Linked DNA regions of Rhinolophus ferrumequinum. The protein of the gene in region 1 interacts with the protein of each later gene in a biochemical or structural test. Links are inferred from orthologs where the notes say so. Each region holds a gene or a part of one and is shown in the gene's direction. Other genes may lie near its edges. The genes, in order: EID1, NR0B2 and FBXO21.

Region 1 (10,549 bases):
ACACCACCACACAAGTGGAAGAACTTGCTTAAATACTTTAGATGCCAGTAAAAGAAGGAATGATTAAACAAAGTAACTTCAGAATTTTATTTCCTTTTAAATATTTAGCTTCAAGATAATATAAATCAAAACTCTGCAGTGACATCAGCTGCAGTGACATCAGCTGACAGATTTCATTTTTACTACCACTGCATACCTCTCTTGAATTATGGGTCCTATCATTTATGATCCTAAATTTTATTCCTCAGTTGAAAGAAAGAAACTAAATGTAATGGAGGGAAAAAAACTGTTAAAGTGGATTTTATTGCCTCATTTCTGAAGGATATAATGTTTAATAATAATAAATGCTTTGCAGAAAAGAAGGTAATACATTGTCAGTAAGGGTAAGGCCAGTATATGTTCCCCATGTTTTCTTGACATTATTGATGATCAATCATGAAAGTCAGACTGTCCCCTCCTCTAATCTTCTGTATGTTTGCAGATACAAGAAAAATGTCACGATGTCATGGAAGAGCAGAAACCTCCTTCTACTACCTTAGTTTAAATAGATTTGCATCTTGTTCAGCCACAGGATTCCTACTTTCATTACCCCTCTCCTTTTGCTCTGGTCCAGAAATGATGCAGTACAGAGTCAGAGAATGACCCTTCATTCTGCAAAGTAGGTTGCAGAGAGAACACTGGCTCCGTCCTGCACCATTCATGGAAAATGAGCCCTACGCGGCCTCGTGGTAGGGAGGAACTGCAGTTCTTTCTCCCCAGCTGAGCATTACCTCCATAAGTTTCTGCAAACCTCATTGCTCATTCTAGATTAGACTTAGTTGCCATGTATGGCAGATAGGCTTCTCCTCATCTGCCAAATCCAAATGATTAGTAGGATCTACTTGGAACTCTGTGTTGAGAAGAATTCTGAGAAAGGACTTGCAACAGATGTATAACACATTTGTTTTTCATGACTTTGATATTATCTACAAGAAGCTTCTCAAAAGATAACTCCATGGCTAATAACACAATGAAGTATTATTAGATAATCTACTAATCCAACTATTTTTAAAATCAGTAACAGGAAATATTTTGTCAAACCACATTTTTGATTACCTGTTATATGTAGCTATTCACAAATTATAATAAGATATTTAGAAAAGACATGTAGTGTCTAACATGCTTTATGTAGAAATTCTTTTAACTTATATAGAAGAATTTTTATGAATCCATACTTACAGGATCCCCTCCAGAGGCAAATGAAATAGACTGCATATGATGATTTGCAATAATCTGGAAAACATAAACAAATTAAACATGTATGATGCTCTAAATTAATTATTCCTAGTTACATACAATCTAACAGTAATGTACATTTCTTTTTGTTTTTGCCTGGACGACATCCTTTGGAAACCACTTCACCCACATTCTATAATAATCTCACTTAGATGTATTTGACATGCCCATTTCATTGCCCCTCTCCTTGCAAGTGGACATAAGACGTAGGCCAATCAGAAGACACCTGGATACAGCAGAACCAATCAATGTCATTGGGGAGGAACTGATATGGACAACAGGAGAGAATACATTTCTCTCTGCCATTAAGGACCGTGTAAGCCCAAAGCTTCTGGGAGTCAGCCATCTTTTGCTGACATGTGGGAAAAGCCTGCTGCAAAATGAAGCTTTCTCTCTGGAGAAAATCAGCTGAGATTTAAAAATAGAAAAAAGTCTGGTGGTAACATTTGATTCATCCTTTCAACCAATACATTTCCCGTCACCCTTTATCTCTTTTTCTATATTACTTATTAATTTATTTTTATATAAATTAGTTTGAATTGGGCTGCAGTCATTCTCCACCAAAAGTATTCTAAGGCACTAACATTAAGATTTCCAGTAAGAAGTAAGACTATCAGAGTGAACTGCATTAGTTAGCCAAGAAGACTCTCTCTTTTAGTTGATATTCTAGGGTTGCTTGTTTGTAATCCCCACAGTTTGTAATCCCCACAATCCCAATTTCCAGAGATGCATTTATCATACTGTTTTGAAGGTTCATTAAAATACCAACTGTGTACCTATTAGCTAATACTGCCTTCAGAAGTAGATTCGGAGCTATTAAAGTTGCTTCTATACTACGATGACAAAGCAGTTCTAGATGTATATCCAACAGAACTGTGTAAATATGAACACCAAAAGATAGTCTAAAGAAAATGACTCTCCTTTTCATAATAGCCCACAACTGGAAACAATCCACTAGTGACAATTGTGATATTTAAACAATGAACTACTACATAGCAACACCATGTTTCTTGGGCAGAAGCCAAACACAAAGAATATATGCCACATAGTTTAATTTATATAAAGTTCAAAAACAGGCAAAATTATTTTACTCTGTCTGCAGTCTGATACTGGTTACGTCTGGGGCAAAGGAAAGGAGAGCAAGTGGTTTTCTGGGACCCTGCAAATGGTGTTTCTTTATCTGGGTATTGTGAAGATGTCAATTCTCCCCCCAGATTAGTCTGTAATTTACATGCAATTCCAATAAAAATTCCACTAATGTCATTCAGGGAACTTTTCATGCTGCATCTAAAATTCACATGGAATAAATATGCAAAAAAAGCTAAAACAATTTTTTAAAGAACAGAGATCAAATTTTTTCCTATTAGCAAGGCATATTATAAAACTATAGAAATTCATTAAAATACAAAGTCTAAAAACAGTCTCACATATTCATGGATTTTTAGTCTATAATAAATGTGGCACCAAACAGCAGAGAAAAGGACAAGTGATTAAATTAGTGGAGTTGGCTGAATTAGCTATATATATGGTAAAAATATATAAATATTATAAATTCTGTACTCATCTGTATAAATAAACAAATGTTTGATTCATATAAGATCTACCAGTATATCAGAAGACAGATAAAGATTATGTTTGTGGTCTCTGAGGTAAGAAAAATCCATCTTAATAGACAGAAAGAAACGTACAAAAACCTTCACATTTGATTACTTAAAAACTCATTTTAGGGCCGTCCCGGTGGCTCAGGCGGTTGGAGCTCCGTGCTCCTAACTCCGAAGGCTGCCGGTTCGATTCCCACATGGGCCAGTGGGCTCTCAACCACAAGCATGCCAGTTCAATTCCTCCAGTACCGCAAGGAATGGTGGGCAGCACCCCCTGCAACTAAGATTGAACATGGCACCTTGAGCTGAGATGCCACTGAGCTCCCGGATGGCTCAGTTGGTTGGAGCGCTGGCTCTCAACCACAAGATTGTCGGTTCGACTCCTGCAAGGGATGGTGGGCTGTGCCCCTGCAACTAGCAATGGCAACTGGACCTGGAGCTGAGCTGCGCCATCCACACCTAAGACTGAAAGGACAACTTGAAGCTGAACGGTACCCTCCACAACTAAGATTGAAAGGACAGCAACCTGACTTAGAAAAAAGTCCTGGAAGTACACACTGTTCCCCAATAAAGTCCTGTTCCCCTTCCCCAATAAAATCTTTAAAAAAAAACAAACCTCATTTTAAAACTTTTATATAAGAAAAGACTCCTGGAACAATACAAACAACAGGAAGAGAGAATATATTGGAACATGTAAAACAGAAGTATTTATATACAGAGCTCATATGGAATCCCTATGAATCAATAAGAAAAAGAAAGAAACCCAAAACAAAGCCAGTTGATTTTCAGAACACAAATGTTCCATAAGCCTATTAAAAAATAATCAATCTCCAAGAAATCAAGAGAATTCAAAATAAAACAAGATACCATTAAATTGATAAAATTGTTCATGTTCAACAAAATTGTGTGTGGCGAGGGTGTGGATATTCTCAAACACTGCTGGCTAGAGCTTAAATTTGTACAGGAACTTTGGAGAGCAATTTGACTGTATTTATTAAAACCAAAGTATGCATATTCTGCACTTACACCTTCCATCTTCTAGGTATTTATTCTAGAGAAGCACTGGCACATGTGGATGTTCATTTATCCAGTTTATAGTATCAAAAAACGGGCAACTATGTTTGCATAGTTAGGTCATCTATAGTACAGCTTTACAAATAGAATGCTATGAAAAAATATGTGTACTAACAAAGCTAAATCTTCAAGACACTGCTGAGGGGTTTGTTTTGTAAGTTGAAGGCAGTTATGTGAGACATGTTTTTTAAAAAAGGAAGATTTTTTCCACGAGGACCTAAGATCCATGTAAATGCAAAGAAAAAGGATTTAAAGGATACACACCAATAATAGTGTAAGGTTACCTCGTGTAAAAAGAAATGGGACCCAGTATTTTCTCAGTATTAACTTTTGTAAAAGGACACGGATAATATACTTATTTGTAAATTTAACTTTTTCTAATGAGAAAAATTGAAAAAGTGTTTAATGCATCAGTTCTTAACATGCTGATTTGTGGCTGAGAACAGTGTGTGTGGTTGGAGGAGCGGAGTTAGAAGCCAGTAGAGCAGACAGTAAAATGGTAGTTAACAGGAGCAGATGCGATTGCCCGGGGTGGTGGGAGGAGGAGCAGGAGGAAGGACGAGGGGGAGGAAAGGACAAGGGGGAGGATAAAGCGTTGTTAAGGCGGGCACATATTTTCCGGTTTATAGCATCATAAGCAGCAGAACGGTTAAGTAAGGCGAAGACGAATTAATATTCTCGTATGCAGTTTTTAGGTGTGAATTTCCAATGGAACCACACATAAACCACCAGGCCACGGGGCACTACCGCGAGCGGCTCCCGCCCGACCGGCGCGCCCAGCGGGAGGCGGTGTCTGGGGGTCACGCAGACGCACAGGTCGCGCACGCCGTTCGCGCACGCGCACAACCACGGGGCCGCGTAACTCCGATCTGGTCGAAAACGCCTTGCAGGAGGTTGAGCCGCTTGCACAATGTCGGAAATGAACGAGCTGTCCGAGCTGTATGAGGAGAGCAACGACCTGCAGATGGATGTGATGCCAGGCGAGAGTGACCTTCCGCAGATGGAGGTAGGCAGCGGGAGCCGGGAGCCATCCCCGAACCCCTCCCGCAACGGGGCCGCGCCACAGCTCGAGGAAGAAGGCCCGATGGAGGAGGAGGCGGCCCAGCCAATGGCGGAGCCAAAGGGGGAACGAAGCCTTGCTAATCGCCCCAACCCCGGGGAACAGCCAGGCCAGATCGCAGGCCCTGACTTCGAGAGCGAGGACGAGGGCGAGGAATTTGATGACTGGGAGGATGAGTACGACTATCCGGAAGAGGAGCAACTGAGTGGTGCAGGCTACAGAGTCTCCGCAGCCCTGGAAGAAGCCAACAAGATGTTTCTGAGAACCTCCAGAGCAAGAGAAGCAGCCCTGGATGGCGGTTTTCAGATGCATTACGAGAAGACCCCGTTTGATCAGTTGGCTTTTATTGAAGAGCTTTTTTCACTCATGGTTGTCAATCGTCTGACCGAAGAACTCGGCTGTGATGAGATTATTGACAGAGAGTAGTTACATGCAGGTAGCAGAGGAGGAAACTACTTGAGGAGAGACCCAACATTCCACTGTCTCTCGGGTTTATTCCAAATAGTTCCGTGCCAATGAAGAACTGGATGTTCACCAGAAAATGGTTTTTTGTCTGTTTGTTTTGCAGAATAGAATAGGGCTGTGACTGCACCGTTGTGAAAAAGAAAACAAAGAAGAAGGATCTGAGGACTGACGAAACCTGTTTTCAAGAATGTCCTGCAACACGTATGGCTTTGACTTTGTTATTAATCCAGATTATTTTCTTTGCATTGGGGGAAGTGACTTTTCCTGTTTCACTTTACGGGATGGTTTTGCAAGAATAAATCATGACCAAGACAAACTGCCAGTACAAGAGCCCACTGATACTAATTAGGAAAGAATAAGTAACTTCCAACTTAGGAAATGAGATGTCTTTGAGTTATTTGGACTGAAAACCTGATAAGAAAACTTTGAAGATTCCACTTTGTGATCTAGCAAGGCTAAATTTTTATAGGGTCTGATAAGTTGAATATTCTTAGTATTCCCAGAAGGATAAGCAAACCCAAAAAGAAATATGTATCATGTGTGCTGTATCTTAAAATGTTTCCAAGAACATCTGAAATTTTGTACATGTATCTTGATCATTTATAAAGCTACTGTGAGCCGTAATTCAAGAAAATTCATTGTCTTGACCATTTTTAAAAGTCAAAAATGAGAAAGTCCTTAGTAAATTTTCAAATTTAGACATTAAAATGTATGTGAAAGAACAAAGAAAAACTACTTCTAACATTGTTATATACTAGAGAAATTTTCTGTTTTACTTGCTCTCTGGTTTCATTTAACTTTACAGGCAAAAGACTGGTTGAACTTTTTAACAAGAACTGTTAAGTGAAAATTGTCAAGTAAAAGGAAAGCCCTACATTTAAAAAAGACTGAACAATTATGCCATCAACTTTTAAAGGTTTTTAAACCTGTCCAGAAATCCACCTGAAGTTTCTGAAGTTTCCCTCTGTCTCCTCCTCTAATGAAGCTTGTTATTGGTTATGCACCAGCATTCGAGATAATAAAATTTCTTGTTCTGTGTATTTTGTTTGGCTAATAGCATTGCATACATACTTTACATATTATTTCTTATTGTATTATACTATTTTATTGTATTGCAACCACTTTATGCTCTCAATTTAACCACAATTTATAAGGGAACGTGCTCCAGCTTCAAAACCTGATTTACAAATTAACTTGGGAAACTAAACAGTAAATTCCTGTAAGAATTTGCCAACCTGGGGAAACCTGCGCTATTAATGAGTATGTTGCTGTGGTTATTAACGTTCTAAAGTTCTATGATGATTATGTCAGAAGCCTGTGACCAGTAAATCAAACTACTAGATGTTCTTGCTCCATTATGGCTGTAGAGGACACATCCAATACAACAGGACAGTTCAGAACCTTAATTTATCGTACAGTCATCCTTCCTTTCAGAGGAATTTTTTTCTGTAAAATAGGGGACTAACAAGGATGACAATCACTCAAACACTAGCTTGGAGGGGCAGAAGATAGATAGGGGAAAGACTACACAGGAGGTGACAAACGTCTTAATCCCACTGCCTCCCCCATGCCTCACTTCCTTCATTGCATTTTCAGACAATTTGTAGTTGCAGTCAGAAGACTGGATAAATAATTGCTTATGTGATATGAATTAACAGTACTCTGAATAAAAACTGGAGGCCAATACACAATGAACTCACTACTTGCATTTACCTCTAGGTAAAGATGCCAGGAAACAGGCTTAGAAAAAACAGGTTTACAAACCCGGAGGTGTGATTCCTTCTCTGGGACTAAGTAGGGAGCAGGAAAAGAAAACTCCCTGTTGGGTTTGAAGGCTTATTTTGTGGGGAAAGACCTGCTGAACTCCGCAGCTGATTCCTCTGATGGTGGTTGGTTTTAAAAATAAACAATAACTTGAGAGATCACTGAAATTAACACTTGTTAATTTACTAAAGATAGAAAATGGTAATATTTTTAATACCCCTTGTAAGGGTGTAAAATCAAATGTATTTCTGTTATAAAAGTTATCACAGATTGGAACTAACCTACCTGGTTCAAATCTAGTCTCCACTACTTACTAGCTTAAATTACTTGATCTTTCTGCTTCAGGGTCCTTAACGAAAAATTGGGATTAGATACATGTATATCTTCATTTGATGGGAACTAAACAAAGCAGTTCTGGGGAAATTCTGATCCTGATTTTGTGATGTGAGTAGAGGGAACTTAAAAAAGTTGATGAGCATGTAGTGTGATTTGGGGAGCATTTACTGAATCTATTCATACGTACAATAAATGTTTGCTTAAATCATATCCCACATTGGCTGCCCTAAGGACACATCTGTTTCATTTGGTTCATGCTTATAATTTTAATTTCTTAATTAAAAACCAACACTTATGTGAGAAAGAATAGCAAAACTCCTAGATTTCCATCTTTGACCTTTAGTGACATGGTCATAAGTATCTGATTCACCTTTATATAGGGGAGGTATTGTTTTCCATGTTCCCCAATGTTGTCTCCCCAACATGGTATCCAAGTGGCACTCACCATTTATCATTGTGCTTGCACCATTGTTTTTTCTTGTACCTGAACAGTTTGCATTACCTGCCTGGCCTCTCTAGATACTTGAGACTAAAGGATGTCTTAAGTTTTCTGCCTGTTTTACCTTCTTAATCTCTTTATTACCCTTCTCAATTTCAGTAGTTGTTAAACTTGGTGGGAGAAGTGTAGAAATTAATAAAGATAGGAGTAGAAGCTAGTGAGACTGACATTTTTGTTTAGAACACTACATATATTAAAGTATGTCAAGGAAGTCTGTTTTTTAAATTTTTAAAACAAGGAATATACAAAAAACCCTATAACTTGCTTTTCGAAAATGTGTTTTCCCATCCCAAAATGTAAGTTTTAAAAATTGCAGCATTACATGTTTAATATAGTTTTATCTTTGCCTCTGAGGTTCTGTGAGACATTTTCTGGGAGGAAATCAGTTCTATTTTTGAAGTTCTCAGTGGCTGAAAATAAATATGAACCATCTGATCCATAAAAGCTCTGTTATCTATGAATGTTTCTACAAACTTGAACCTGTTTATGTTTTCAGTCCAAAGTATATCTTAGATGTTAAGGGGCGGGGGGCATTAGTATTTCTTTGTATTTATCTTAGAACTTCAAAGGGTAGCTTTCTTTAAGGAGAATTTAATAAATCCTTTTCTCATGCTGCATCCATAAGGTCGCGTCTCTGCTGCCTTCACCCCTTGAACGTCTTAGTTGCCCTCTTGATGGGATATATAAAGTTTTTCAAGTTGAAGCATCCAGAGTACGACACGTCTTTTTTTTATAAGCCCCACACCCCAAGCCATTTCCCTCAGGCCTGCAGAATAGTTCAAAATTACTTGAGCTGTTACTTTTTTTTTTTTCAATTATTGCTCTTCACTTTATGGCTTATGGGTTTGTTTTGTTTCTTGTTTTATTGGGGAATGTTGGGGAACAGTGTGTTTTTCCAGGGCCCATCAGCTCCCAAGTCGTCGTCCTTCAATCTAGTTGTGAAGGGCACAGTTCGGCTCCAAGTCCAGTCGCTGTTTTCAATCTTAGTTACAGGGGGCACAGCCCACCATCCCAAGCGGGAATTTAACCGGCAACCTTGTTGAGATGTCGCGCTCTAACCAACTGAGCCATACAGCCACCCCGATGGCAGCTTGTTGTTTTCAATCTCGTTGGGGAGGGCACAGCTCACTGGCTCATAGGGGAATCGAACCGGCAACCCTGTTGGTCAGAGCTCATGCTCTAACCAACTGAGCCATCCGGCCGTCCCTGAGCTATTACATTTTATCAGTGAGATCCTGACTTTCGTTCCCATTCTAGCAGTGGGCTGAATACAACTCCATTCCGTGCTACCAGTGCAGAAAAGGTGATTCACTCCCAAAGGTACCTCATTGCTATAACTACAGGTCGTGGAATCCAGCCATGCCCACAGTCCCTACTATTCTGCCACAAAGATTATGGGTGTGTGGCAATACCACCTCTCATTGGCCTGGAAAAACGTCGTGGAGGAGAAGGAAATGCTAAGAATAAACTAAGCCCCCTACCACACACCACAGCCCTATTCTTCCTAAATCACCATATTTTTAGTCACCCAATGGGAAGCCATTTTTTAAAATGCTCATTAGATTCTGCACATGACTGTCAACATATTGGCTCTAGTTCTTCCTACTCTTCCTCTCCTACAAAACTCATAATTCAAGGGCTCCTATACTCAATGAGATCTCATAACTAAAAGCATTGGGTAACCCTGGTACCAAACACGTGGGTGAAAGCTAAAAATAAATTTTACATCTGCAAATGTCTTAAGGGCACAGCATCCGAAAGACTGAATGAATGTTTTACCTTCTACTCAAAAATTGCATCTTCCAAGTACAGTCCCAAATGTTCTGCTGTCATTATACTAACAGTATAACCTCTCTTGGATAACCAATGAAGAGCCAACTGGACAGGAATCTATTTTGAACTGTTTCACATTAAGCATTTTCCTCTATGATGACTTATACTACTGTGTAATCAATGTATTTTATTCTGCTTTTGAATTTAGAAAATAAAGCAGCCCTCAAAACCACAAGTGAAATTATTGACAAAAAAAATGGAAGCCAAAATGTATATAACTGTACTTATATGTTATTGATAAATATATAATTATATGTTATAATATGCTTCCCTTGTTAAGTACTGAGTACATAAAAAGTTCTCAGGGAAGAATGTTTGAGTAAGTAATAAGTACCATGTAACGGGCACTGTGCTAAGTGATTTACATCCATTATCTTACTTAATCCTTTAAATAACCCTATGAGATATAGACTACAATATTGCTAAATCCATCTTCTCAGAAACTCCATGAATACTATAATCTTCATTTTACTGATGAGGAAAATTGCGTGGCAGGGTAACGTGCTCATTGGCGGCAAAGCCAGGATTTCATGTGACCTCAAAATCTCTCAGTGTTTTCTCACTGCTAAGTATACGTTAAACCTTCCTTGAGTCCCTGATCAACAGCACACTCCATAGAGTAAAACCTTAAATATTAAATAT
Region 2 (10,812 bases), on another chromosome or scaffold:
AGTCATGTCATCTTCTTCTGAGACATCGTCATAACATACTAAATGCATCTGTCTGGCTGACGATCTCAACTGGGGCTTATTTTTGGGGTAGGTCTTATTTTCAGGAAAACACAGTAGTAAACTTGGTTAACTGATTGTCCAGTTGGTACAACTTCATAATGAATAATCCCTCTGATATCAAGTTCACGAATGTAATTGTCAGACCTCATATACATACATATTTTTTCTTTTTAATTTGAAAAAATAAAAATTTAAATTGATTAAAAATTTGTTGGTTAGGACCACTGTTTCTTCCCACTCTCATCCCACTTCCCAATATGAATGATTCCCAAGACACCTGGAAATACGTCGGTGATGGGGGAAGAAACAGGGTATGTGTAGAACAAAAAGCAAAGCTGCACCAAATCCTATCACTTAGTCATCACTAAGTTGTCATTTCATATTGACACCAACTCAAAAGAGAAGTTCTCTCCTATAAGGAATAATGCAGCATATGCAATTATAAATGCTTCATGCATATTTTTCTTTTTTGATAAGAATTACACAAAGTAGAATTTATGAAAATTCCTACTACAAACCTATAAACAGTGCTACAAGTAGCATATACATCTATGTGTGAAGTTTATGTCTCTTATCAAGAATGAAATTTTGTTGATCAATCCTGCGAGTGAAAAGATAAAATCATCTCTCTAGTCTCACTGTAGAAATTTATTTTTAAAAATCATTGACAGCTCTACCTCCTCCCCTTCTTTTCTCTTCCTGAAAATTTCAGTCCTAAAACTATTAGGTTGTGTGGAACAAGGTAGAGGTATGCGCCCCAAGTAGAGGAGGCGGGAGCCACAGTGGCCCAGAGCAAAAGTCAGAGCCCCAGCATGGTGAGGAGGGTGTCCACACAGAGCGGTGACCTGGCATGGGTGACAGGGGCTCAGTAGGGAGAAGAAGGGGGTCCCTGAGTGGCAGGTGGCAGCCTGACACAAGGTATCAGAGCCCAATGGGTGAGGAAGGTATCTCATATGGGACAAAGTGGTGGCAGAAATGGAAGACTGGTTAAAAACAAGGGCTTGATGCAACAGGTTAATAAATTAAGAATAATGGAAGCCAGATTGCTCAGTGTCAGAAGATGGAGGTATAAATGGAGATGAAAACTACAATAACCCCCTTTACGGTGTATTAGAATTGGAGATAATAGTCTGAACTCATGGTTTTTTAATATGTATAAATAATTAATAGAACTAAGTATGAATGTGTGTGTGTTTGTACGTGAGCACATGTGGGCGTTTCTTAGCTCTGGGAGGGCCTGGGAGCAGTGACACCTTAATTGCAATGAGAGGGTCTTGGTTTCTAGACATGGCTCTAGTGCCCAGATTATGGTTTTTAAATACTGTTCTCCACTAAAACATTGAATCAGAGCTTCTTGGAGTACTGACTGATTCCAGAGGCTGGAAAAAAGACACCTTGTTATACCAGAAAATAAGGGATGTTCGAGGAACAATGGGGAATGTCGAAAGGATATATATAGACTCAAGCTTGAAGGGGCTCCCATTGGCCAAATCTGTGACAATCTGAGCATCAAAATAAATAATGATAGTAATAGATTACAAACCACTGAATAAAGTAGGAGACCATGAATTCATATGTACATACGTACATACATACATACATACATACATCAAAGTATGAGGAGGAATAACTACATAGTTTCAAAGTGCCTCCTTACAAAATACTGATTCGTTACAAAGGAGAAAGAATAACTATAGTGGAGAAGCCTGGCAGACATCCCTTAAGTGACCAAAGTGAACCATGGGCCAAATGGAGAATAGTCAAGAAGAACACAACATCAGTTTTGTGATATTGCTACTAAAGATACATAATTTGAATCTAATCAAATTGAGAGTCTTGTTACAAAATAACTACAACTCTTCAAAAGTGTCAAGGTCCTGAAAAGCAAGGAAAGACAGAGGGAAAGTTTACTGACTGACAGACCAAGGAGACATGACAAAGAAATGCAATGTGAGATTCTGGACTGAGCACGGTCACTGTCACTGATTTCACAAGAGCATTTGGTGAAACTGAAATGGGGTCTGAGATTAGATATTACTTTCCTGATTTTGTTCATTGTTAATTTCCTGCTTTTGATGATTATATTGTGGTTTTATAAGAGAATGTCCTTGTTTGTAGGAATTACACACTAAAGTATTTGAGAGTTCTGGGGCATCAAGTTAGCAATTTACTTTCAAATGGTTCAAGGTAAAAAAAAAAAAAAAGTTCCCTGTACTGTACTTGCAATCTTTCTGTGTTTGTGATGCTTTCAAAAGAAATAGTATTGACATGTGAAAAGGTGAGCAAAGAGGGTACAGCTAAAACACGTAGGCAAATATTGTCAGGCAACCAGTAAAAGTATCTTGCTATTCTCCTGGGTTTGTGACATTTGTATTTTCTGTCAGTTCATTTTAGTTTGTAATTGGTAGTGATTTGTTTTCGTATTTTAAATATTCACTTCTATACCTGATTCTCTATTGTTAAAGAGGGTCCTTCAAATTGTATAAGCTTCAAGCCCCATAAACCAATATCTACTATTGGCCTTTGTTGCCACCCTTTTAAGGATGAGGAAACTGAGGCACAGAAATATAAAATGACTTGCCCAAGGTCACTCAGCTAAGTGATGAAGCAGAATTTGGACCCAAGCAATCTGACTCCAGAGTCTCTTTTGAGGGGACGCTGTGGAAAATTCAGTGAGAAAAAGGATGTGAAAGGAACTTTATACATGTTAAGATTAAGACAATTCACAATCAAATGAAAGAGGTGTGCCTGTTTGTCTGCTGGGGCTTAGTTCCTTAGACAGAGGCAATGGGGGAGCAAAGTTCTACTGTATGCCAAAAACTGCTTGGAATTTGACATCCAGGACCTCACTTTGTCCTCACAGCAGCCCTGCAGGCAGGCATTACTGTTTCAAATGAAACTCCAGAGGCCCACAGAAATTTGGAAATCAGCCCATGGTCACACAACTGTAAAGTGATAGAGCCAGGAGCAGATGCCAGGGATGGTGATGGCTGCCCAGGCTGGGCTTGCCAAGGTCCACAGACATGACACAGCCGAGGACCTTCCCGCCACTCTCACATAATATGCCCCACTGTCTGAGACAGAGTTGCTGAGTGGTTGGTAGCAAAGCAACATTTCTGCCTAGATCATAAGTGGGCAACATCTGCAGACCAGGCAGCACCAAGGTAGGGGTCCAGGTAGCCACCAACTCTGGGAAACTCAGGCCACACAGCTCTTGCTGCACAATTGGGCCAGTAGATTCAGGGGAACAAGCAAGGACTTTGAAATCAGATAGATCTGGGCTCTGTCTCTTCTTAGTGGCATGACCTTGGACAAGTCACTTCCCCTCTGTGAATCTCAAAAAGTAAAAATCTTGCTTCATAAGGAAGCTCTGAATATTAGAGTGGAAAGTAGCACATAGAAAGTGTTCAATAAACAGTAGCCATATTACATTATCATTCTGCCAGTGCTTCTCAGCAGATACGGCCTTTCAGGAGCTCTAGGAATACAGACTGGGGAGAGAGAGTTCATTTCTGCAGGGCCCCCAGAACTGGAGTCAGAGGAAGGGGCCTCCTAAACTGTTCAGTGGGCAAAGTCCTCCCCAGCCCCCCAGGGTCCCGGCTCCCTTCTCTGCAGCCTGTTCCTTACCAACAACAGGAGCTAGGCCCCAAGGTTAGGCAAACAAATCAGCGATAAGGCATTTCCAGGTTGGGCCTTGCATTCAAGGCTTGTCCAGCTCTGGGGCTGACTTCCCAGCTTAGCAAAAGTCCTGCAGGCACCAATAGGGACACCTGCCATGGCCACCTGCTGATTATGCACCTGAGGCCTTGGTGCCCTGGTACAGCCTGGGTTAATGACCCTGTTTATCTGCTTGAGTCATCTGATAAGGGGCAGCCGGCCCAGCGGACAGGTGGCCCCATGCCTTGCACCGACCACTTCATTGACTGAAGCCTATCAGGGCCACGTGGAGCTCTCAAGGCCCCCGCCCCCAGCACTTCCCCACCAGTCCTGCCAGGGTCAGTGTCTTTCTTTTTTTTCAATGAATATGACTTCTGGAGTCAAGGTTGTTGGGCTGCTCCCCCCTCCTCCCCATTGGGAATATAAATAGTGCCCACAGTGCAGAGGGCGGGAGAGCAGGAGGAAGGAGGAGCATTTCCTCCACCATGAGCTCCAGTCAGCCGGGGACCTGCCCATGTCAGGGTGCTGCAGACCGCCCAGCCATTCTGTACGCACTCCTGAGCCCCAGCCTTAGGGCCAGGCCCTCTGTGCCCCCTGCCCGCAGCCACTGCCTGTGCAGGCAGCACCGGCCTGTCCGGCTGCGTGCTCCCCATCGCACCTGCAGGCAAGCCTTGGACGTTCTGGCCAAGACCGTGGTCTTCCTCAGGAACCTGGCATCCTTCTGCCAGCTGCCCCCCCAGGATCAGCGGCAGCTGCTGCGAGGCTGCTGGGGCCCCCTCTTCCTGATTGGGTTGGCCCAAGACACTGTGACCTTCGAGGTGGCGGAGGCCCCGGTTCCCAGCATACTCAAGAAGATCTTGCTGGAGGAGCCCAGCAGCAGCAATGCAGGCAGCGGCCAGATGCCGGATCGGCCCCAGCCCTCGCTAGCTGCGGTGCAGTGGCTTCAGTGCTGCCTGGAGTCTTTCTGGAGCCTGGAGCTGGGCCCCAAAGAATATGCCTATCTGAAAGGGACCATCCTCTTCAACTCTGGTGAGCTCTCAGACATTCCAGGATAAGGGCCGAGGCTGGAGGGGGGCAGGGCCCAGCCAGGGAAGGCACCTTTTAGGGGTTTGACATTCATTATCTCTTTGGGTCCTCTTTATCTCCAGTCATCTCACAAAAGAGGCTCACAGAGGCTAAATGATCTGCTGAAGGTCATAGAGCCAGGAAGGGGCAGAACAGGGATTAGAATTCAGGTCTGTACATACTAGAGATTGGCCCTTACCACTCTGCCCAAGAAGCTTGCCCTGACACTCAGGAAAAGAAGGAGTGGGGGAGGGGAGGTTGGGCAGACACAGCTATGCCTCAGTCAAGGTAAAACTGTGGGTTCAGAAAGACCACACAGAGAAGAGGAAAGAAAATGAGGGAGTGTGGGGAAGGAGTCTTTGTACCATTTAGCTAGGAGAGCAAGGGATAGAGGTAGTGTTGTTTGTAATTTGGAGAACATCTCGATAAGAATTCCTCACCAACAGGCCCTCAAGGAATACGTAAATTATAGTAATTAATTATAATAATCTAGCGAAATACTCATATTACACTTACTGTATGTTAGGCCCGATTCCATTTTTTACATATATTAGCTCATTTAAACCTCATAACAAGCCTACAAGATAGGAACTATTATTATACCCATTTTACAGATGAGGAAACTGAGGCACAGAGATAAGATAATTTTCCCAGTGACCTCAGGTCTGGGGCCAGTCTCGCCCTGTGGTGGCTGGGAGTGGGATGCTCACCAGTGCTCTTCACCCTCTGCCCGCAGACATGCCAGGTCTCCATGCCTCCTCCCACATCTGGCACCTGCAACAGGAGGCTCATCAGGCACTGTTTGAGGTCCTGGAGCCCTGGTGCCCAGCAGGCCAAGGCCGGTTGGCCCATGTCCTCCTCACAGCCTCCTCCCTCAAGTCCATTCCACACAGCCTACTTGGGGACCTCTTCTTTCGTCCTATCATTGGAGATGTTGACATCGCTGGCCTCCTCGAGGACATGCTTTTGCTGAGCCGACCTGCTCCAGCCCAAGCAGAGATCAGGTATAGTTTGGGCAGAAGCTGGCAGCGCTGATTTGGCCCAGCTGCCCCCAGAAGTGACCCAATGCTCTGAGAGGGGGCAAGCCTATTAGAGAGCACTCAGCCCCCTAGGAGAAAGCTGGCCCTAGCCCAGCCAGACGGACTATGTGCCCTCTCACTCAGCCACAGCCTGTCTTGGTCTTCCTTGGTTTGGACACAGTGCTCCAGCTGTCTGGCCGGCCCTTGGAGGTCCCCAGAGTCTCTGGGCCAAGAATCCTGTCCTCTCCTGGGATGGAGACGGAAGCTTAGACGGCTCATTGGGCCAAAAGTCCTACTGACTGTACAGAATTGACTTAAGTTATTGGTTTTTGTAATAAAAGGCTTACACCCTTGGAGGCTGACATTGTATTTTGTACATTTGGAAGGGACCATCTCACCGCCAGGGTCCACCCTGCCCCCATCAGAGGGAGCCCAAGAGGAAGGAACCATAAGGGGTGCAAGAGCCAGACCTCAGAGAACCAGGATATTAATTTTCAGAGTGGAATGATGATTTCATTTCTGAGGATGGGATTGATTTTGCACATTTCTGAGTCCAGGGGATAGGATCAGTTCAGGACCCCGTCACCTCCTTGCCTTTATTTCTGTGGGGGGAGCAGTTTCTCTTTGTCCCCAAACCCCTCACTGACCCCTCAGCTCCTGCCCACTACAGGCGCCCAATCACAGACAATAAGGAAAACAAAGCAGCCCATTCCCTAACTGAAATGGACAAGGTCACTGGAATTTCTGCAGTTCGGCATCATCCACTTCCTCCAGGCCTTCAGACAACAGAAGAGGATGGCCTATTGTTCTCCCAATGGGAGGGGGCAAGGGTATCCAGGGCTGGCCTGGCTACCGCCTTGGTTTAGCTGCCATACTAGCTGTTAAAGTCTAAAACATTTCCACGACAGTTGGTTCACAGCCACTGCCCCAAGCCCTCCTGAGCTCCTTTCCACTGCCCCTCTGTCCCTGGAATCCATTCCCACTGTCCAGCAACTAGAGAGGAAATGCTTGGCATAGCCATGGCCTCCAGGACTTCTCCATTCAGGGTGTGGTTTGTGTCTGTTCTGATTGGTCAATCTCTGTTCCTCAGCGTTTGTTAAATATTTTGGATATCACCCAGGTCAGGGTGACTGACCTGCAGGATGGACAGGAGGGAATGATAACAACACACATGCCTATAGGACCCCCTTTCAGGCCTCCTCCTTTGTCCGGCAATAGGCCTGCCTAGGCCAGGCCCCACCCCCTTCACCACCACAGTTTGGATTCTTCTCACGGGGGCCAAGTTAATTATTGCTGAACGAGAGGTCATTCACTCAGGGACAACAGTCTAGGAATCGATTCATTATTCAGTCCTCTCCCTAAGGCCGCCAGGACAGGGACCACAGCTGAACTGGCCATGTACCAATTACGGGCACCCGGTGCCAGCAGCAAGGGCACCACTGTCCCTTACCCTATCATTCACTCACCACTCAGATACCCAAAATGAGACAGAAACACACAGCTTAGACATCACAACAAAGACTCACACAACTCAGACTTACAGCTTTCTCTTTCACACACACACACACTAAATCATACAACTCAGACATGCCTAAGCAGACCCGTAAAACACACCCTCCATGAACCCACACACAGCGTGGAAATACAGGTACACTCACTCAGTGACATACAACAGACCCAAACACATTCACACCACAGAGACAAGCACCCAGGCCAGACAATCACACACACAACCCTGCGCCCACAGGTAGGACACACACCATGGAGATACCCTTACACCAGGGCATGTTCTCCATCTTCTGTGTGTCACAGGGAAAGGAAAAGTGGCCCCCAAAGTAGGTAGACCTGCATCTTCACATCTTCCAGGTCTACCCAGGCCAAACTGCTCTGCCAGGGGCTCAGGACCTCAACTAACCAAGCATCCCCTTTTCCCACGGCGACCCCAACAGCCACTCCACTCTCAGCCAGACCCTGCCCTGCTCAACAGTCCGCTCAGGCATGAGCTAATCAAACTCCCAAATGGAAGCATCCATTAGAGCTCACAACAAGCCCTGCCTCTCCCCTACCCACCCACTCCCCACAAAACCCCTAGACCCAGACCTCAGGCCCCCAGGCACCTCTCCCTGCCCTGCTGTGCACTTTGGCCCACACGGCCCCACCTCACCTTGCAGATGCAGGAGGCAACTCTTTCAAGAGGAGGTGCCTCGTCTCCCGGTAGGATCTAAATCCAGCAGATCCCAGGATTCCCGGGTTATTCTATCTTTTATGGCCCTTCACACACTGATTCCATTAGTTTACTGTTGCACCTCTCTGAATCCTCAGGCTGAGTCTTTCACCCCGCCCCTCCGCTAAGCCTGAACAGCCATCCATTAGAAAGTGCTCCTCTGAACTACCCACCACAACTTGTTTGCATCATCCAAATAGCTTCCCTTATCAGCCCTATCTTTCCCCTTTTCAAATTCCTTCCCTACTCTTCCCTGTGGTCTGGGAGCTACATTTCTGTCTGCTTCTCACATGTACCCAAGCTTTCTGGGAGGACTATAAAGACAAATAGAGCAAAACTAAAGAGAGAACTGTAGTACAGTGTAATAAGGAAAAGAATGCTTTCTCCATGAGACTGCAGGCTTTCCAAAGGTGGAGGCTATTTCTCTGTTACCAGCATCTTAGGAGGGGGACCTGTGTCTCATAAACCAGGGAGGTAGAGGAGGAAACAGGCTCAGACAAGGTGAGCAACTTACTCAAAGTGTGGGTAAATCACTGTGCTGGGATTTCACCTCAGGGCTGTGGGATGCTGGAGGCCTGGCTCTTGCCACCAGCATAGGCTGGAGTGACTCATGGCCAGGATCAGGTTGTCTGGAGCCAGCTCAGCTACTGTTTACTGACCATCTACCTTTCAGCCATGATCTCTGTCCTCAGGTCCAGCCAAGGATGACTCACTAGGAAGTAGGGTCAGCCTCAGGTACCATTTTATTATCATTATTACCTCTACCTTCATTAGCCAAATCATTGTTATTAAGCAATCAGGCTGCTGACGTGTGCTGTGCCCTGCACAGACACACCCTGCCTTTGGGGCAGTCACTTATCCCCTAGAACCTATAATGCTGGCAAAAAGCCAACACTCACTAGCCATGCATCCATTCATTCCATCATTCAACATTTCTCTGGAAATCCACTTGCACCAGACCCTGTGCTAGATGCCAGTGACGCTGAATAAATAAGCTGCAGTCCCTAACTTCATTGAACATCCTATCTATGGTAGAGAAAGACACATAAGTAATAATTCTGAAGTGTGTTAGAGGGAGTACAACAGGAAGAAAGAGCTCAGAAGAAGTGATTAAATCTTCCTGGAGGTAAGAAAAATGCTTCAGCCAAGTGGTGACAACTTTGAACTAAAGAGAATGGATAGGGGGCCCACCCGGTGGCAGCTCTGTGCTCCTAACTCTGAAGGCTGCCGGTTCGATTCCCACATGGACCAGTGGGCTCTCAACCACAAGATTGCCAGTTCAACTCCTCGAGTCCAGCAAGGGATGGTGGGCTCTGCTCCCTGCAACTAAGATTGAACACGGCACCTTGAGCTGAGCTGCCGCTAAGCTCCCAGATGGCTCAGTTGGTTGGAGCATGTCTTCTCAACCACAAGGTTGCCGGTTCTACTCCCGCAAGGGATGGTGGGCTGTGCCCCCTGCAACTAGCAACGGCAACTGGACCTGGAGCTGAGCTGCGCCTTCCACAACTAAGACTGAGAGAACAACAACTTGACTTGGAAAAAGACCTGGAAGCGCACACTGTTCCCCAGTGGAATCCTTTTCCTCTTCCCCAATAAAATAAAATAAAATAATTCAAAAAAAAAAAAAAAGAGCGAGAATGAATAGGAATTTGCCAGGCAAACCAATGGGCATTCCAGAAAGGGGGCCTGATAGGGGCAAAGGCACAGAGGTGTCAGACAGTAAGGGTATTTAGTAACTGCAAGTGGTCTGGGGCAGATGGCACCCAGGGCAGCAAGAGATGGGCTTGGAGAGGTGGACAGCGATCATGTCACAGAACAAGGCAGCAGAGAAAGACAGTCCAGTCAGTCCCAATGAAACTGGTGGAGGTGACAAGGCTAAGGTCTCAGGAGTATCAGGATTAGCAAAGAGGACCACCCATTCCTGGCAGGTCATTCTGGGTACCTACAAAACATGTATTGAAAGCTGTGCTCCAAACATGTTACATGGATTATGTTATTTAATTCTCACAACGACTCTGTGCTGGAAGTACTATCATTACCTCCATTTCATAGATGAAGAAACTGAGGCACAGAGAGGTTAAGTAACTTGCTCAAGGTTACACAGTTCATAAGTAGTAGAGTCAAGATTTGAACTCAGGTGGCCTGGATTTAGGGTCTATGCTCTTAAACTATGCTATCTTGCGACTTTAAAGGTCAGGGGTGATCAACTGAAGAATAAATACCAGCACCTAGCCTCCTTCCCCGCCCTACCTCTCTCTAAGGTAGAATGTACCCTTGCTTACTTTCGGGTTTCAGTTTTTGATGAGAAATCTGGCCTATGTGTTCCCCCACGGAAATGGCCCCACTTTCGCTGGAGACAGTCCTCCACCACACCCAGCAGTACATCCCCATGTTAGTGCCAGGAGTATTCATTCCATCAGTGACGACTTACTGAGAGTCTACTACATATCTAGCATGATGCAAGGGCCTGGAAATTTAGTCCCACAAACGGCAATTGTGTATAATCATAAGTGCATAACTTCTTGGGTCACCTGACAGCTTTTCACAGCTTTTCCAGAGCACACCATCTTTATTTTGGTCCACATTGTTTGCACTTACTTTTCAATTTTCAGATTTTCAAAGACATAGTTTTTTGTTGTTGTTGTTGTTTTTTATTGGGGAATATTGGGGAACAGTGTGTTTCTCCTGGGCCCATCAGCTCCAAGTCGTTGTCCTTCAATCTAGTTGTGGAGGGCGCAGCAGCTCACTGGCCTATGTGGGACTTGAACCGGCAACCCTGTTGTTCAG
Region 3 (10,812 bases), on another chromosome or scaffold:
TTTTATAGGAAGGTTACCGTTTATCGTGGAGTTCATGAAGCTGAACTTCCGGGCCCCTCCCTTGGAGAGACCCCATCCAAGGCCCCTTCTTTTCTCATCCTCCATAAATGCTCTCCTGTTTACTGATGAGTTCATCCCCGGCTATTCCTTTTCCAAACCAGGGCCTCCAAACAGGCCCAACGAAACCTGGATCTGCCCGTGCTGGTGGGTGACTCCAGTAATTCCCCAATGTTCATGTCAGGACCATTTGGGGACGTGTCCTGAGTGACAAGAAGGTTCTGTGAGGGCACAAGACCGAAGATGTCTGTGCTCAGCACACGTGTATTTCTGCGGACAAGTGCTTGAGTTCCCATCGAAAGCAGCTGAGACGCAGGCATTTCAGGAAAATGCAATTGCGCTAACAAAGGCCCTGAGGTGGGATGGAGAGTCTGGGGAGATGGGCCACAGGAGAAAAGACGTGGATATTCACTTTGAAAATAAGGAAAGCCATCGACGGTGTTGAAGGGAGTTGAAGTGGTGTCTCTGGCTGGATTGTGGAGATCTCATGGGAGAGGAATGTTGATATCTTCCAACCGAAGATAAGCAGAGCTGCACCGAGAGTCCACAAAGATAGGCTGATCAGCTTGTTGCAGTAGGAAGTGAGCCCCCGGGGGAACTCGGAGGGGGATCACTCCGGGGTTTGGGCTTGTTCTGGGTGGTCTGAGCGGGAAGTAGGATCATGAGGCCCAGTTCTCGGCTGACCTGCTCAGCAGGAGGGTAGTGTGGGCTAGATTTTAAAACTTAGAATTTTCCCTGTTGCCGAAAGGGAAAGGGAGCCATTTCCCTCCTTTCACTCTTAGAGCATTGCCTTGAGAAATTGTGCGCGTGTCTTTCCTGTCTCTTGCATATATGTATGTAAGTCTGTTTTGTGTGTACTATTTTTTTTGTTAATTATGGTAAAATATGACAGAAAATTTACCACTTAACTATTTTTAAGTATACAGTGTAGCGGCATTCAGGACATCCACAATATTGTGCAACCATCACCACTGTCTCTTTCCAGAACTTTCTCTAATCTGTATTCTGTCTCTATGAATTTTCCTAGTCTAGACATTTCATAGAAATGGAATCATGCAATATTTGTCGTTTCATGTCTGGCTTATGTCATTTAGCATAATGTTTTTAGTGTTCGTCCATGTGGTCACGTGTATCAGTGTGTCATTCCTTTATATGGCTGAATAATAGTCCGTAGTACAAATATACTACAGTTTGCAAATCTTTTCAAAATAATCCTCTTCCCAGTATTTCAACCCAGGAATATTTTTGCGTAAGGGCCTGAGAACCGTCTCTGTGAAATGAAAGTTCTAGGAAGGTGGTGTCCCCATCTCCCTGTATATAAGTTTAGCGTCAGCACCCTGTTCTACACTGTAATTACCTGCTTGTCATAAAGATGAGAAGTTTTCTTATTCCTTGAGACAAAAGCAATTAGGTAGCACCATGAGTATCCCAACTACCAGGTAAGCTTAGGATGAACTAGAAAAGAGTTTACAACAAAGGTATAGTACAGTCAAGTCCTCTCACTTGAGGACAAGTTACCATGAATCTCGAGAGTAGGTATGTAATGCAGTGCTTGGTTGTATATAAAAAGGGTAGGATTTCTCTCTGTCTTTGCAATCTCATCAGCAGATTACCTGTGATGTACCCCACAGTCTGGTTTAATGCTTGTTCAATAAGAAAACTATTCTCCTGGGGCGGCCGGATGGCTCAGTTGGTTAGAGCGCGAGCTCTTAACAAGGTTGCCGGTTCAATTCCCACATGGGATGCTGGGCTGCGCCCCCTGCAACTAAAAATTGAAAACGGTGACTGGACTTAGAGCTGAGCTGCGTCCCCCCATGACTAGATTGAAGGACAACAACTTGCAGCTGATGGCCCTGGAGAAACACACTGTTCCCCAATATTCCCCAATTTAAAAAAAAAAAAAAAAGAAAAGAAAGAAAACTGTTCTCCTTTACTACAGTGGCGGCAAGGATTTTCTAGATTGGCAGGAGATTTTAATTTTTTCCCGACAGCATCTTTGGTCAGAAGACAGGAAGAAAGAATGAGGGCCAGGACATCATTGATAAGAAAGCAATAGTCTTTCCTAAGAATGGCTTACCGATCATTTGTGCAGCTGTGGGGTCTGCCTTGCACCTAACAGGTTGGAAGCTGTTTATCAATGTCTGAGTGTTCTCAGGGCCAGGGCAGAAGCCATGAGAACAGTTGGGAACCACAGTGCAGACGTGGGCTGGGACAGTGTGAGCCGAGACAAATCTAAGAAATATTAGGATCTTTTAGAAAATGGCCTCCCTGTTCCAGAAACAGAGGCACAGAGAACTTAACCTCTGTTGGGCATTTGAACATGGATAGTGCTTCCCAGCACACTTAAGATAAAATCTTAACCATCTTTCCAGGCCCTACAGTATCGGACAGAGGTAAGTACAGTATGTACAGTGGTTGAGAGCCATGCAGCAACAGTAACTGATACATATTTTCATTTAATAGGAAGGTCTATTGTTATCCCCATTTTATAGGTGAGAAAACCAAAGCACAAAGATATTAACCGCTAGGGACCATTTGGATGGTGAGGTGCCAAACGGTGACGAGTTCCGGTTTTGCCGTAATAGATGGAGTGGCACCCTTTCCTAAGGCAGGAACCACTGGGAGAAGACAAGGTAAGTGGGGAGGGGGAACTGTAAGTTCAGTCCCAGATAAGTTCAATTTCAGGGGCCCAAAGGAAATGTCAGGTGAGCAGTTGGCTGGCTAAGCAAGGCTGGACCTCAGAGGAGTGAGCCGGGCCAGAGAGAAACGTGGACATTTTAGCTGAGCTTGGATTGTCATTCGAGATGTCGACAGAGGTGAGAAAAGTGAAAGAAGGGGCCTGTGGCTGTGCCCCATGGTACCCTAACATGTACCATCTGGGTGAGACGGCAAAGGAGACTGACAGGGAACAGCCCTAAAGAGAGGGTAGGGCCACAGAGGCCAAGGTGAGTCAGCATTTTTGAGAAGAAACAGCATGGTAAACAATGTCTGCTGATGCTGTGGAGACGGCAAAAACAAGGCCAGGGAACGCCCACTGAATTCAGAGGCATGAAGGTCCAGGATCTAGCCCAGATCTGCCAGACTCCAGGGGTTACTCTAAATCTTTCTGTTTTAATGACCATAGTAGCAGCAGCTGCAGTAACACTGTACGCCCGCCCCAGCCCCAATTTCCTATTTTGAAGCCCTAACCCCAGGACCTCAGAATGTGACTGTATTTGGTGACAGGGTCTTTAAAGAAGTAATTAAGGTCAAACGAGATCATTAGGGTGGCCCCCTGATCCAATAGGACTGGTGTCCTTATAAGAACAAGAGTTAAGACCCCCACACGCACACCCACACATACCACGTGAAGACACAGAGGGAAGATAGCCATCTACAAGTCAAGGAGAGGCCCCAGAGAAAAACAACCCTGCCCACACCTTGATCTCAGACTTCTGGGCCTCCAGAACTGTGAAAAAATAACTTTGTGTTGTTTAAGCCACTCAGTCTGTGCCACTTTGTAATGGCAGCCCTAGCAAACGAATACAGGCAGTAACATAGTTTCAAACACATTTATTGAGATGAAAGTCACATAACATGAAACTCAATAGTGAATGATTCAGTGGCATTTTAGTACATTCACAACGCTGTGCAACCATCACCTCGGTTGAGTTCCAATACATTTCCATCAATCCAAAATAAAATCCTGAGCCCATGAAGCAGTTGCTTCCCATTCCCCCAAAACATGCTTTTATCAAGTGTGTTCTGTGTGTCAGGCACAGTACACATGCACTTTATATAAACATACTCATTTAATTCTCTCAACAGTCCCAGGAGGCCAACATTATTATTATTATCCCCATTTTACAGATGAGAAACTGGGCCTCAGAAAGGCTAAGTAACTCGCTGTAAACAACTGGTTAGATAACTGTAATCAGCAAATAATTATTGAGAATCTGCTGTGAGCAGAGCCTGTGAAAAGTAACTGGGCATCCGGACAATCCTGATCCTGAAGTTGCTTCTGATCTAGTAGGAAAGATGCAGGTTGAACAGTTATCAATTAAGTAAATAAGTACACGACTGCAAAATGCTGAAAAGGTGCCGTGTCTGGCTCTGGGGCTGGGATGAGAGAAGGGAGGAAGAGAAGAGCAGCCAGAAGGAGGGAGTGCCGGCATAAAGCGCATTCCAGGCAGTGGGAATAGTACACATGTGAAGGCCAGAAGTGGGAGGAAAGAGATCAGCCTGGCTGGTAGGGTTAGTGAAGGAAAGAATGTCTTCAGACAGGCTTGGAGTGGTAGATAGGGGTCTGTGTCTTTGCAACAATGTTAGGGATTTCAGATCCCTAAGGGCAAGAGAGAGAGTCATGGAGGCAAAACAACATCCACAGAAAGTAACAGTTACTAGTTCAATTGTCTCAGGGCATTCTGCTGATTCCAGGTTGGGGAGGAGGAGGTTAGTGAGCCCTTCAGGACAACAGTACTGACAACACATTGTTCTGTACCTGTGTGTCCCCGCTACCTCCCACCCCAACTGGAGTTGGAGCTCCTGAGAGGCAAGCACACCATCTTACTCACCTCTGTATCCCCAGGGGACAAAGCACAGTGCCTGGCACTAAACGTACCTGAGTTTTCTTTTACGAGGGCAGACACCGAAAAGAGTACCCACCCACACCTGAGTGGGAACTTCTGCCTTGAGAATTCAAATCTACCACTTTTTGTCTCTACGACTTTGAACCAGTGACTCCCAACTTTCTGAGCCTTGTTTTCTTTATCTGTAGAATGGGTACAAATATGGTACCTACCATAGAGGGCCCAAATGAGGAGTCCTTGAGGAAGGCATGTAAAGTGCTTGGCACAGCATCCACTCAAGAATATTAAGTTTGTGATCACAGCATGCTAGTTTAGAGTACGGTCAAGCAGAAGTCAAGAGGATCTGGATTAGAATCTAGAACAAGGGAGTCTGAGCAAGTCTGTTTATCTCCCTGAACCTCAGTTTCTCTATCCGTAGCTTGGGGACAATAATGGTTTAAGAGGGTTATTGGGAAGGTTCGACGAGCTCCTGCACAGGAAGCGCCCAGCACTATAAGAAAGATGGATGTTGTCATTGTCATTGTCGGTCCACGGCTCCAAGGCCCACAGCCCAGTTACTTTCCAAAACGCGGTACTTTCCCGTCGCCAAGGCGCAGTCCTCGCAAGTACCCTGGGCAGAGGGGGTGGAGCTACCGGCGTGGGCAGGGCCATCCTGGGGCCCGCCCCTCAAGGCAGGTGGGCGGAGCGAAGTGGGGTTCCCCCGGCGCGCGCGCACAGCGGCCCCAGGTACGCGGACAAGATGGCGGCAGCAGCGGTCGACAGCGCGATGGAAGTGGTGCAGGCGCTGGCGGAGGAGGCCGCGCCGGAGACGGCGGGCCTCAGCTGCCTCGTCAATCTGCCCGGCGAGGTGCTGGAGTACATACTGTGCAGCGGCTCGCTGTCGGCGGCGGACATCAGCCGCGTCTCCAGCACCTGCCGGCGGCTGCGCGAGCTGTGCCAGAGTAGCGGGAAGGTGTGGAAGGAGCAGTTCCGGGTGAGGTGAGCCTGCCGCCCTGGCCGCTGGTGCCCTGGTTCTGCGCCCCCGGGACGCGCGGGCTTGGCTGGCCCGAGCCGCCGCCTCCTGGCCCGCGCGCGGACCCCACCCCGGATGCCACCCCCAGACCCCTTCCCGGGGACCGACAGACAAAGGCCTCCAGGCCGCCGGCCCCTTGGGTCCATGCCGCGCGGACCCTCCGGTGCCCAAATTGCGCATCGGGAAGCGCCCAGCAGCCGGGCCCTCCCTAACGGATGACGACGGTAGTATCGCAGCTCATCCATTCTGCGCGCTTCTTTTGTGCCCGACACTGTGCTAAAATGTTTACACGGATCTGGTGATGCGGTGATCCCCACAGCCCTGAGAGGAAGCGGGCGCAGCATCCTCTGGTTGGTGGTTGAGAAGCACAGATTTCGGTGTGGACCCGGGATAAAATCTGGCCCTGGCATACTCGCCGTATGACCTTGTGGGCAGACTTCCCTTTTTTGAGCCTCGTTCACCGACTTGGCTGATAATTAGACCTACCTTTGACTGTGCTTATTAAATGAGATGTGTAGGGAGCATTTGCCAAAGGGCCCAGCTCTTAGGAGGCGCGCAGTGCATGTTAACTGTCATTGTCATCGCTATTATTGTATTATCGCTACAATTGTCCCCATTTTATAGATGCAATGGAGACACAAGCATTCTTATGGCAATGCCAAGGTCACTCCGTGAGCGAGTGCGTGCGTGTTGGGTGGAGATTGGAACTGGGTCCATCACCAGGGCCCCTTGACCACTAAACCATACTGCTTTCCCTGTTTTCCAAGGCTGCCTTTGATTCCTGCCTGCCTGCCTGCCTTTGAGTCTCTGTTAAGCTGAGGGGGTGTTTTTCTCCTTGTAGGTGGCCTTCCCTTATGAAACACTACAGCCCCACTGACTACGTCAATTGGTTGGAGGAGTATAAAGTTCGGCAAAAAGCTGGGTTAGAAGCCCGGAAGATTGTAGCCTCGTTCTCAAAGAGATTCTTTTCAGAGCATGTAAGAATCTGTTGATGTGGCTCTAAGCTTTTGCCTGGTCGTGGTGTGTGTGTCTGGGTTTGTAGGCATTAGCTCATCCAGCTCTTTTTGATATCTCCCTTTTCAGTGCTCTCACAATCCCTTACTCACTTAGATGGCTGCAAGAGTCATTGTGTCCTTTTCCTCCCATCCAACAACATGAAGCCATTTGTCCCTGCCAGCTTTACTTTTCTAAAGCCAGAGAGAGAATGGGGGTGGAAAAGGAGGGAGGGACCCACAACACAATGTAGAGGGATTTTTTTTTTCTCTTCAGCGTTATTTCTCTTCAAGTGGGTTAGCCATTTTTTTTTTTTTTTGCAGCCTCCACATGATTAGGGGGATCATTGATGATTGAACACTACAAATCTCACCCAGTTGTTTTCCCAGAAGGCTTGACGAAATTAATACGGTTCTTCTCTCTGGCTTTGCAGGTTCTAACCAGTTGTGAACTGCATTATTTGTTAAGCTAATAGGATTAAAAGCTATCTGTAAATCAAAATTATTGCTCCCTCAATTAAATTGTCTTACTTTTATTATCCCTGAAAAGTTTTTTTGTTTTTGTTTTTGTTTTTTAAATATTGCTGAACTGCATGGTTTTGTTTTTGTTTTTACTTAACACAAAGCGTTCACAGGTCCTGATTCTTAACTTTTTGTGACTCTGGAAAATAGTCCACCCCAATATTTTAAATTTATTTCTGATTGGGGGTCTAGAAATACAGCCAGTCTTACTTATTTTATTCTCCAGGTTTACTGAAGATGAAGTCCTATTTTCTAAATTCAATTACTATTACTTAATGGAGTTCATACATTTGAAATATTTTCAAAGCTTGTCAAGTTTTGAAAGGGAACGTTCAAATTTTGAACTTTGGACAAATTTGAATGCATTCTTCTGTGGAGAATAAAATTAGGTATTCCTTAGTGCAATTCATCTCTATAAATAAATGTTAACGTTAGAAGGGAAAAAGTTTATTTTCTACTTGGAAAAGCCATGCCCTAGCTAAAAGCATGCATGATCACAGATGTTAAATAACTGGTTGAAACGTTGTTTGCACACACATGTATTTGGACCAAGTGTTTGATGCACTTGGTCACGGGCTGCTAGTTTGCAACCTCTGCTTCTAGTCCAGCTGGTTTTGTGTGCATTTTGAACAGCCTGTGCCTTTGTCTGATAATAATGAATTGTTATGTTTCTTCCTTAGCTCCCTCTTCCCTGATACCACTGCTTAATTAGAAGTACGTCAAGTACTTTGAACAACGCAGGAGTGTACTTAAGATTGATCTGTGGGTGGGTGACGACTTTGGCTCAGGACCCTTGTATTCCTGTGTTCCCAGCATGCACACAGGTTGACATGAAATTCCCTGGCTACCTTCAAAAAGAAAAGTGGCAGAAGTGTTAGACTTTTAAACTGAGGGGATCTTAAAGCTTATTGGTACCACCACCTTGGTTTACAGAGGAGAAAACATGCAAAACATGCTCGGTGGGTTGAGTTGCCCAAAGCACTAGACTTCTCTCTCCGGCCCCTCCCTTCTTGAGTACAGCATAGCCTGCAGGAAGTAGTTCTTGTGAATTCAGAAATTTTATATTTCTAGTTCTTGTTTTTTTGTTTGTTTGTTTGTTTTCTTAGTTTCAGGGGTACAAAACAATGTAATAGACATTTGCACCCCTCACAAAGGGATAACTCCCCTCCCCCAATCTACTGCCTCTCTGACATTGTATATAGCTGTTACAATTTCTAGTTCTTGTTTCAGAGCTATTTTTCTTCCCATTAGAATTCTTGAGTTACCAGTTTCAGAAATTTCAGTGTATGAAACTATCATTAATTTACAACTAACAACAAGATTTAAACAAATTATTGTTACTTTGCATGTTACTTTCCACCCATGGTAAGTGGTGCAAAAGAATATAGGATAGCTGTTAACCACTTCCATGAAAATGACCGTCTTTCTTTGCCGCTCAGATTTGTGTATGAGAGTGACAACGACATCATTACTCGTTATTGAGGCCTGTTTGTATATGTCTTCTTCATAGGTCCCTTGTAATGGTTTTAGTGACATTGAGAATCTTGAGGGACCAGAGATATTTTTTGAGGATGAACTGGTGTGTATCCTAAACATGGAAGGAAGGTAAGCCATAGTTATAGCAGGGGTTTTTTTGGTTTGTTTGTTCATTTGTTTTAATAATAACCCCAGAATTAATTGCTGTAATTTGTATGTGGCCGAACCATGGGACATGTGTTTCCGAAATTTCATGTGTTGCTACAGTTATATTTATTTAAAAATTCTGTATACTGAGACAGTTGATATTTAAAGAAACCATGCAAAAATCCTTTTGGAAAGAAGAGAATTACTAGTATGTATTTTATTTAGTCCTATTGTGGGCCAAATACTGTGCTCTGGGCACTTGTGTCTATTATGTCATTTAGGTAACATAAATTATCCTTCCTTTATTATCACCTCCGCCTACCACCACCAAATTTGCCTATCGTGCATTGAATATTTAAAAAAATAATTTCTTGGGCATGTCTTAATTGAATGGATAATTTGTTACAGTTTCTGAATTTGGGGAAGAAATAATGTTACTTTGACCACAAACACTAGAGATATTTGGTTGAGCCATTCTTTTATCTCTCCTTATCAAGAAGGATCCATTATCTCTTGGTTGTTGCTTTAGAATTTTTATGACTCGTATTTTCTGCTGTGGGGGTTAATTTCCAGTTTGCCTGAAAAATGACTTGCTTCCAGCCTAACTTACCTGTGAGAAAGATTCTCTGCTCTAAAAGTTCTGAAAACTCTCCTAGTGATGAAAGATAAGAATGTTAGTTTAGGATCTTCCTTGAGAGAGGTTATTGGGAAATACCTTACAAACAAGGCATAAGATATTTTTCTTGTTGTTTTTAAGGCAGTTTAGGGATGACACGTATCTATCAGTGGAACAACTGTAGGGGAGAGGTAAGATGTGTCACTGTTCTAGGCCTCGGATGAATTCAGATGCAGAGGTCATTTTTCTGTTTCTATTTTGGTTTATCTATAAATGAATTGGAGTATGATCTAACAGTATTGTGCAGCCTTAAAAATAAAAGCTGACCTGTCTTTTTTACATATATACCCACATACTTTGAAATACATAAATGTAATATACAGACTGAGTTTATTGTTTAATTAAAAAATACTGTTTTGTAGTATATACCATAAGTTATTTAACCACCCCTCTATTGTAGAGTAACCGTTTGCTTCTCCATTATTGTGTTACTGTGGAGGGTGATGTTTTGGTGGTTCCTTTTCTCAGTAAAAGGTCCCTGGGAATAAGCTTCCTAGGTCAGACTATAGGATATTATTGAAAAAACATAAAATAAGAGCATGTTCTTGAATGGGAAGACTGACCATCATAAAAACGTCAGTTCTTCCAAAATTAATACGTAAACCTATGGCCATTTGAGTTAGGATCCAACAAGAGTTTTGGGAGGGGAGAGTTTTTTTAATGTGTGTCTTAATTGGGTAATATTGTCTAGAAGAAGAAAATCACAAGAAAAGCCAGAAAAAAACAATTTTGAAATAATCACAATGGGAAACTTGCATGACTACATATTAGAACATATTGTAAAGCTACCTTTAATGAAAACAATACAGTGTTGAAGTGAAAATTAATAGCCACATCCACGGGAAAGGATAATTCAGAAACATGTCGCAGCATAAAAGATAATATATTTAAACTCAGAGGGAAAAAGATGGACTATTTAATAAATGATATTAGGCATAACTGATTATCCACCTGGAAAAAAATAAAACTTGCATCATATATAAAAACTATTAGGTTGGTGTGAAAGTAATTGCAGTTTTTGCAATTATTTTTAACCTTTTAAACTGCAATTACTTTTGCACCAACCTAATAAATCCCAAAAGACTAAACAACCTAAATTTTATCACAATGAAAATCCCTCAAGAAAATAGGAGATTTTGTATACAATTTAGGGAGACTTCCTTAACCAAGACCAGTAATGCAGAAGCAATAAAAGAATATGGACAAATGATTTTGCAATTAAAAAGTAAACTTCTGTATGACCAAAGAAACCATAAACAAAGTCTTAAAATTTCCAAGAGGAAATTGAAAAATGTCCAAAGGATAGGAGGATGATATCCACCAAACAGCAAATCCAAATGGCTGGTGATCATGTAAAAAGAC

The links.
Region 2: the proteins of EID1 (region 1) and NR0B2 form a complex in vitro, tested with the Homo sapiens proteins (3 studies listed by BioGRID). The link is inferred for Rhinolophus ferrumequinum from reciprocal best matches to the Homo sapiens genes EID1 and NR0B2.
Region 3: of the proteins of EID1 (region 1) and FBXO21, one has a biochemical effect on the other in vitro, tested with the Homo sapiens proteins (2 studies listed by BioGRID, with this or other methods). The link is inferred for Rhinolophus ferrumequinum from reciprocal best matches to the Homo sapiens genes EID1 and FBXO21.

Annotation. Positions count from the first base shown.
Region 1 is NC_046289.1:58,193,984-58,204,532, reverse strand, and holds EID1 (EP300-interacting inhibitor of differentiation 1), read left to right. Parts: upstream 1-4,776; 5' UTR 4,777-4,860; coding exon 4,861-5,436; 3' UTR 5,437-6,515; downstream 6,516-10,549. Other genes in the region: SHC4 (SHC-transforming protein 4), read right to left, coding at 1,219-1,272. UniProt on the Homo sapiens protein: Interacts with RB1 and EP300 and acts as a repressor of MYOD1 transactivation. Inhibits EP300 and CBP histone acetyltransferase activity.
Region 2 is NC_046292.1:18,426,179-18,436,990, reverse strand, and holds NR0B2 (nuclear receptor subfamily 0 group B member 2), read left to right. Parts: upstream 1-4,097; 5' UTR 4,098-4,202; coding exon 4,203-4,746; intron 4,747-5,518; coding exon 5,519-5,817; 3' UTR 5,818-6,157; downstream 6,158-10,812. UniProt on the Homo sapiens protein: Transcriptional regulator that acts as a negative regulator of receptor-dependent signaling pathways. Specifically inhibits transactivation of the nuclear receptor with which it interacts.
Region 3 is NC_046308.1:10,889,184-10,899,995, reverse strand, and holds the start of FBXO21 (F-box only protein 21), read left to right. Parts: upstream 1-5,364; coding exon 5,365-5,603; intron 5,604-6,478; coding exon 6,479-6,614; intron 6,615-8,661; coding exon 8,662-8,756; intron 8,757-10,812. UniProt on the Homo sapiens protein: Substrate-recognition component of the SCF (SKP1-CUL1-F-box protein)-type E3 ubiquitin ligase complex.